Linked DNA regions of Alligator mississippiensis. The protein of the gene in region 1 interacts with the protein of each later gene in a biochemical or structural test. Links are inferred from orthologs where the notes say so. Each region holds a gene or a part of one and is shown on either strand. Other genes may lie near its edges.

Region 1 (3,742 bases):
AGGCGAAAGGGAGACAAAGTCTGAGCCCCTGTCCAGCCGCCACCCCCGCCCTTCCCCTCCCTCCCTCCCCCCACCCTATCTGGACACGCACCAGAGTCTGTGCGGAGGTCCTTGAGGTCCAGGGCCTGCTGGAGACGGTCATACCTCTTGCTCATGCAAAGCTGAAATAGCAGAAAATGCAGATCAGAGGGTGGGGGCTGGGGGGGGTACAGTTCCCCTTCTCTACCTGGCACTGATTAATGGCTGGAAGTCGCCCCCAAACGCCAGGCACTGAGCCCTAGGGCCTTACCTTCAGATGTTCAATCTCCTCTGGCTTCAACTCGTTCTGGACAGACTGGGGCGGGGCCGACGAGTTGATGATTATCACCACCTGGAGCGTGGGCAAAGCAGGTCGACGGGGGTCTCAGCAGCACCCCAAGGCTGCTCCAGCTGGGAGAGAGACCCCCAGAGCAGCACAGGAGCCTCCCTCCCCCCTCGGAAGGCAATGATGAGGCCCAGCTGAGGGACCTGACCCCACACCTTGTAGTTCTCTCTGTCCGTGATCTTGCGGGACACCAGTTTGAGAGCGCTGGCCGCAGTGGCGTCTTCTACGTAGAACTGAGCCCGGTTGTGGTCGTAATGGAACTGAAAAGGGGAGAGAAACAAGGCGGTCAGGGAGACCTGAGCGCCGCCCTCCCAAGAACTGGGCAAGGAGAATCCCCCAGGCCCTTCCTCCCCGCAGCAAGGGCAGTGTCTAGGAAATTCAAAGCCTGGAAAAAAACCCCCCAACTGTCTGGCCTGAGACAGTGACCCGGCAGGCACCCGCCCGAGAGCTGGGAGAGAAGTCAGTCATCCCGGCTCCTAAACGCGCTGCTCTGAGCCCCTGCCACCACCAGGTAGAGAGCGCAGGCCCCCCCCGGTCCCACTCTGCTCTGACCCCTCCCGAGACCCCGCTCTCCCCCTGATGCTGGGAGACAGTCCAAGCATCCGGCTCCCAAGCCTCTCTGCCTGTGGGCTCCGAGCTGGCACTCACCTCCACGGGGTTGAAAGGGACGGTGCACACATTCTGGATAGCGGTCAGCAGCCACGACCGGTCGTACTTCCTCCCGTACGGGATCTGCCAAGGAAAGTCGCCCGCTGGCGAGCGTCAGAGCCGGCAGAGGGACCTGGGCTGCCCCGCAACCGACTGGGAGCTCCCGGCCAGGGCGTGCCCAGGCTGGCGGGGAGACCTTGCCCCCGCCCCCACGATCGCTCACCGTGATCTTGAACCAGTTCTTCCGGGTGCCGTCGCGCCCGGCATTGCCGCCGCGATCTGGGACGGGCTGGTCGCGCCTCGCTGTGACATGGATGTTGCTGGCGCCGCCCCGGCCCCTATCATGCCAATCGTCACCTCGCCGGTTTGGCCGCGACCCGTAAGGGGTGCTGGGGACCAAGGGACGAGGGGTCCTCAGCAGGCGAGTGCAGGCCCCTCGTGGGATCTGCTGAGCCTGGGGACAGTTGCATCCGCCCCGGATGCCTCCCAGCACTGCAGCTCCCCCCCCCCCCCCCCGTCTCCCTCCCCCTACGAGGGCAGCTTCCACGTCGCGTTCGTCGCCCTCCTGCCACCCCCAGCGCGGACGAGGCAACGGGAGCCAGAGCGGGGAAGCCCCGTGCTCACTATCTGCAGCGGGGCCCGTCGTGGACGTCGCTCATGGGCACGTCGCCGTCTTCCTCGTCCAGGCGGCCGCGGGGGCTGGGGCCGGGGCCGTGGCCGGCGCCGCCCCGGTTGCGCGGCCGGTGGTTCGGGTCGCTGTACATCTTGCCGCGGAAGGGGCCTCGGCCTTTCCTCCGCCGGCCTGGCCCGCCGCCCACGCGGTCGTCGTGCTCTGCACGGGGGAGACGGGGTGGGGGGGAGGCGGGGGGGGGGTCAGCCCAGGCATGTTCTCCCAGGCCCTCCCCTGAGCCCCGCCCCCACCCCCATAAACTTCACGTCCAGGAGCTCCACAAGCCCCGCCTCCTAACCCCCAAACTCCGCCCCAGACACCCAATCCCTAAACTCCGCCCCCAGGAGCCCCCTAAGTCCTGTCTCGACCCGACCCCTAAGTCAAAGACCCGCCCACTCCCTAAGCCACGCCCACAGCCCCACTTCCTCTGGCCCCAACTCGCCAGCCCCGCCCCCGGACCCCCACTCCCCAGCCCCACTTCCTGTAGCCCCGCCCCTAGACCCCAACCCCTAAGCCCCACCCCCGGCGGGCGCCCCCTCACCGTTGTAGCTGCCCTTCCCGTCCTCCGCCATCGCGGGGCCTCCTCGCGCCGCCGCCGGGCCCGGTCCCGGGGAGCCGGGCAACCGACCCGCCGCTCCTCGCCCAGCGTCGCCACAGCGCATGCGCAAAGGGCTCAGGCGGACCCCCACGGCGCATGCGCGCCCAGACGGGGCTCACCGCGCAAGCGCAACGAGAGCGCGTAGGCTGACCCCACCAGCGGGAGACGCCGCGCATGCGCAGCCGGGCCGGAAGGCGGTGTGCCACCCTTCGCGGCGCCGCGCATGTTCCAAGCGGCTTCGCCTCCCCCGCGCATGCTCATTCCCGCTGGTAGCGCCGCCTCTGGGCGGGAGGAGGGACTGCACCCACCTCTCTCAGGGTGGCAGGTTCGAGTCCCTCCGCGGGATGAACCCGGCCCCAGGGCCAAGCGAATGGGGCGGTCCCCTTTCGTGCAGAGACCAGCCCCTTCTTGTTGTGCATCCACCCTGGGTCCAGCCCCTCCTCAGGGGAGACAGGACAGGCTCTCACCCCATGGGCACCAAGAGCTGCCCCCACCCAGCACCACTGCTCTCCCCCACCCCAGGCCTGCCTCTGCCTGCCCCTCTGACACCAGCCCCCATGGCCTTGGCCCAGCTCTAGGGGGAGGGTTCAGACCAATCTGGCCCCAGGAAACCCTCCCCCAAGGGCCACAGTCCCACCCCCAGCCCAGCCTGGAGCAGAGAAGGGCAGGCGGCAGGCTGGGGTTACAGTAAAGCTTTAATGTATGTCCCATTGGGCGCAGCTCCCCGGCTCCGGCCTCACCGTGCCAGGAAGGGGGTGTGCCCAGAAGGGAGCAGGGCACAATCCCTCACTGCCGCCCCCTGCCCCCAGTGGGCTGCTCTCATCCAGCCAGAAAGGGGCAGCACCCCCCAAGGAATGTGGATGCCCAAAAGGGCAGGGGGCCGGGGGGAGAGGGCAGCCACCATGACCAGGCCAGAGGGTAGGGGCCGTGGCGTAGGCTGGGGGGATGGAGAGAGGAATTCAGTTCAAACTTGAGAGGCCACGCAGTGTTAGGGAACACAAAGGGCCCTTTAGGCCAACCTGGGGGTGGGGGGTCATCATCACAGTACAGCCCGTTCCTGGAACTGGGGGCCCCCACTGGGCTCTGCCAACCCCCTGGGGCAGCTTGCGTTTCACAGGGGCCACACCAGAGAGACCCAAGGGGGTTGTGTGGGGCAGCTATGAGGACCACAGGCCCAGCCCCTGCCAGAGAGCAGGGATAAGGGATAAACTTAAATACAGAAAAAATAAAAATGGGGTGGAGGGTATACTGGGCCATGTCCATGAACCGAGAGCCCCTGGGGGGGGACAAAGGCACAGCAGGGAGGGTAAACGGGGGCAGTGAGTCCTGGCTGCACGGAGAGGGCGAGACCCCACTCCTCACCAGCAGAAAAAGTGGGGGGAGGGGTGGTAGGCTCTGGCAAGAGTCCGAGTGCCGGGGCTTCCCCCATGCTGGTGCCAGTGCCCCTCCCGGCTGGGCCCTG
Region 2 (3,742 bases), on another chromosome or scaffold:
AAGAGGTTTCAGAGGTTGTCTAGTCTAGGGCAGGGGGCAAGTGGTGCGGGCAGCCTCTGTGTGGGGCACGTGGGAGACTGGACTGGGACAGGCGGCACACTGGTGGAAAGCAGAAAGCAGAGCAGAAGTTGGAGCAGTAGAAGAGATGGCAGGGAGCAGACAGCAGAGCAGAGGCTGGAGCAGAAGAGATGGCAGGGAGCAGACAGCAGAGCAGAGGCTGGAGCTGTAGAAGAGATGGCAGGGAGCAGACAGCAGAGCAGAGGCTGGAGCTGTAGAAGAGAGGGCAGGGAGCAGACAGCAGAGCAGAGGCTGGAGCTGTAGAAGAGATGGCAGGGAGCAGACAGCAGAGCAGAGGCTGGAGCTGTAGAAGAGAGGGCAGGGAGCAGACAGCAGAGCAGAGGCTGGAGCTGTAGAAGAGAGGGCAGGGAGCAGACAGCAGAGCAGAGGCTGGAGCTGTAGAAGAGAGGGCAGGGAGCAGACAGCAGAGTGGAATGCATGAGGACCCCCAGGGCAGAGAGCAAAAAGCAGAGCCAGTGTCTTGGGCAGTGAAGTAGGGAAAGGAGCAGAAAGTCGAGTGGCAAATCAGCAGGGAGGGGAATACGGCGCAGGGAGCGGAAAGCAGAGCTGAAGACCAGAGGCAGGATACCGTGATGGGAACAGAAAGCGGAGCAGCAAGCGAGAGCCCCCTACTTTGGAGCTGGCGTCCAAAAAGCACCGCCCCGCATCCTCCCTAAGCCAATTACTTAAACTCTCGGCGTGACTGACACCCTCCCCCGCCCATCAGAAGGCTCCTCACCTCCATCCAATCAGATCGATAAGGAGATTTTCATCAACCAATGAGGGCGAAGGGCCAGGGTCCGGCGGCATCCCGCGCTTATCCCGGAGGGACGTGCGGCTCAGCCTATCACATTGGTAGGGCGGGACGGGAGAGCGGTAGGCCAATCACAACGAGAGGTAAGGTCACGGCCTGTCCCGCTGAACTGCTCCGACGGACACAAGCCCCATCCAGTCACAGAGAAGGGGCAAAGCGACTTTTGACCAATGAGAGGCAGGGGCGGGTTCCCGGCGCCCAGAGCAGGCCGGTTCGAAATGACGCGGATCCTCACCAATCAGAGACGCGAGGCCCCGCCGCTCTCCGCTCAATGAGAGCCGGAGGAGCGGGGTAGGACGGTCTCACCCCGAAACCGTTACGATTGACAGGCGGCTCGCCCAATCAGAACCCCGCAGCGGCCAATCAGAGCCTCCAAAGGGGGGACCTTCCCTCACAAGCCACCCGAGCACGAGACAGCGAAGAGAGGCAGCGCAGCCACCCAATCAACGAGCGGCCAGGGTGGGGCCTCCCGGACTGACAAGACCAGCGCCCAACGGCAGCAGCGGGGGAGGATAGAGTGGCCCAATGGCGGACAGGGGGGCGGGGACCATTTCCGCGGCGGGTTCCAAGATGGCGGCGCGTGCGTGAGCGCGGGTCCGTCCGTCAGGGAAGCCGTCCCGGAGGTGCTCGGCGCCATGAAGGGCAAGGAGCGCTCCCCGGCCAAGGCCAAGCGGTCCCGGGGCGGCGGCGGCGAGGACTCGGCGCCCTCCTCCTCGTCGGCGCGGGCCGAGCGCAGCAGCAAGAAGCCGAGCGGCTCCGGCGCGGGCGGCAGCAACGGCGGCGGCAAGGCGGCGGGCGGCTCGGGCGAGAGCGGCCGGCGGGGCCTGCACCCGGACAAGGCGGGCCGCGCCGGCAGCCGCGAGTACGAGGCGGGGGCGGCGCCCGGCGGCGGCGGCAGTAGCCGCCACGGCTACAGCGGCAAGAACGCCGAGTCGTCGCGGGGCAGCGGCGGCGGGAGCCGGGGCGGCGGTGGCGGCGGCGGGGGGGAGTCCCGGGCGGCGCCGCCCCCCTCGTCCTCCTCGTCCGAGTCGGGGGGCGGCGGCGGCGGCGAGTACAAGACGCTGAAGATCAGCGAGCTGGGCTCGGCGCTGAGCGACGAGGCGGTGGAGGACGGGCTCTTCCACGAGTTCAAGCGCTTCGGCGACGTGAGCGTCAAGATCAGCCGCCTCCCGCCCGGCACCGGCGCCGCCGACGAGCGCGTGGCCTTCGTCAACTTCCGCCGGCCCGAGGACGCCCGCGCCGCCAAGCACGCCCGCGGCCGCCTCGTGCTCTACAACCGCCCGCTCAAGATCGAGGCCGTGTACGTCGGCGGCGGGAGTGGCCGGCGCCGCGGCAGCCGCTCCCCCGCGCTGCTGGACAAGGAGTCCCCCTACGTGGCCGCGGTGGCGGGTGTGGCGGCTGCGGCTGCCGCTGTGCGGCACCCCGCGGCCGGCGCCACGCAGAGGGCCTTGTCGCCTGCTGGAGGGGGGGGCGGTTTGGGCTACAGAGACTACCGCCTGCAGCAGCTCGCCCTGGGCCGCCTGCCGCCGCCGCCCCCGCTGCCCCGCGAGCTGGAGCGGGAACGGGATTACGGGGCTTTCTATGACACCCGCGTGCGGCCAGCGTACGGGCTGGAGCGGGTGGCTGGCGTGGCGGCCGCCGGCGGCTTCCGAGGAGGAGGAGGGGGTGCCGGAGCGGCCGGCGAGGAGGAGATCAGCCCCGAGGACGACCAGCGAGCCAACCGCACGCTGTTCCTGGGCAACCTGGACATCACGGTGAGCGAGTCGGACCTGCGGCGCGCCTTCGACCGGTTTGGAGTCATCACGGAGGTGGACATCAAGAGGCCGGGCCGCGGCCAGACCAGCACCTACGGCTTCCTTAAGTTTGAGAACCTGGACATGGCTCACAGGGCCAAGCTCGCCATGTCGGGCAAAGTTCTTCTGCGCAACCCCATCAAAATCGGGTATGGCAAAGCCACCCCCACCACCCGGCTCTGGGTGGGGGGCCTGGGGCCCTGGGTGCCACTGGCTGCCTTGGCCAGGGAATTTGACCGTTTTGGTACCATCCGCACTATTGATTATCGGAAAGGTGATTCGTGGGCCTACATCCAGTATGAGAGCCTGGATGCGGCACAGGCTGCCTGCACCCACATGCGTGGTTTCCCTTTGGGTGGGCCCGACCGCCGCCTCCGAGTGGACTTTGCGGACACGGAGCATCGCTACCAGCAGCCATACCTGCAGCCGCTGCCCTTGCCCCCACCTGCCCACTATGAGCTAGTGGCAGAGGCAGCTGCATTTGGGGCTCATCGGGGAGCCCCACCTGACCCACTTCGGGGTGCCCGGGATAGGACACCACCGTTGCTGTACAGAGACCGGGACAGAGACCTTTATCCTGAGGCGGAGTGGGTGCCTCCGCCACCCCCTGTACGGGACAGGAGTAATCGAGCAGCTGCCTATGACCCTCTGGAAAGTCTGGAGCGTCGGCGGGATGGTTGGTCCCTGGAGAGAGACCGAGGGGAGAGGGAGTTGGGTAGCAGTAGCAGGGACCAACCCAGGAAACGGAGACTGGCTGAGGATGGAGGCCGGCACTTGGACCGCTCTCCAGACAGCGAGCGCTCGTCTTCGTCCCGTAAGCGACATTGCCTGGCTGCAGCCTCTCCCCCAGACCGCAGCCCTGATCCTGGTGTGACCCGGGAGCGTTACCTTAGTGATGCAGAGCGTTCCTCCCGTTTGCTCCTGCTGGAGCGGCCGTCACCAATTCGGGAGTCACGCAGGGGCAGCCTGGAGCGTGGCCAGAGTGAGAAGCGTGACCGCAAGAACTCTGCTGAAAGAGAGAGGAAGCACCGTGTCTCAGCGGTAGTTGCTGCCCAGGAGTGCAAGAGTCCAGCCAAAA

What was found.
Region 2: the proteins of NXF1 (region 1) and RBM15 form a complex in vitro, tested with the Homo sapiens proteins (2 studies listed by BioGRID). The link is inferred for Alligator mississippiensis from reciprocal best matches to the Homo sapiens genes NXF1 and RBM15.

The regions. Positions count from the first base shown.
Region 1 is NC_081838.1:3,278,974-3,282,715, reverse strand, and holds the start of NXF1 (nuclear RNA export factor 1), read right to left. Parts: upstream 2,355-3,742; 5' UTR 2,345-2,354; coding exon 2,224-2,344; intron 1,845-2,223; coding exon 1,637-1,844; intron 1,402-1,636; coding exon 1,236-1,401; intron 1,097-1,235; coding exon 1,013-1,096; intron 625-1,012; coding exon 520-624; intron 371-519; coding exon 290-370; intron 162-289; coding exon 92-161; intron 1-91.
Region 2 is NC_081837.1:34,891,793-34,895,534, forward strand, and holds the start of RBM15 (RNA-binding protein 15), read left to right. Parts: upstream 1-1,418; 5' UTR 1,419-1,506; coding exon 1,507-3,742. UniProt on the Homo sapiens protein: RNA-binding protein that acts as a key regulator of N6-methyladenosine (m6A) methylation of RNAs, thereby regulating different processes, such as hematopoietic cell homeostasis, alternative splicing of mRNAs and X chromosome inactivation mediated by Xist RNA.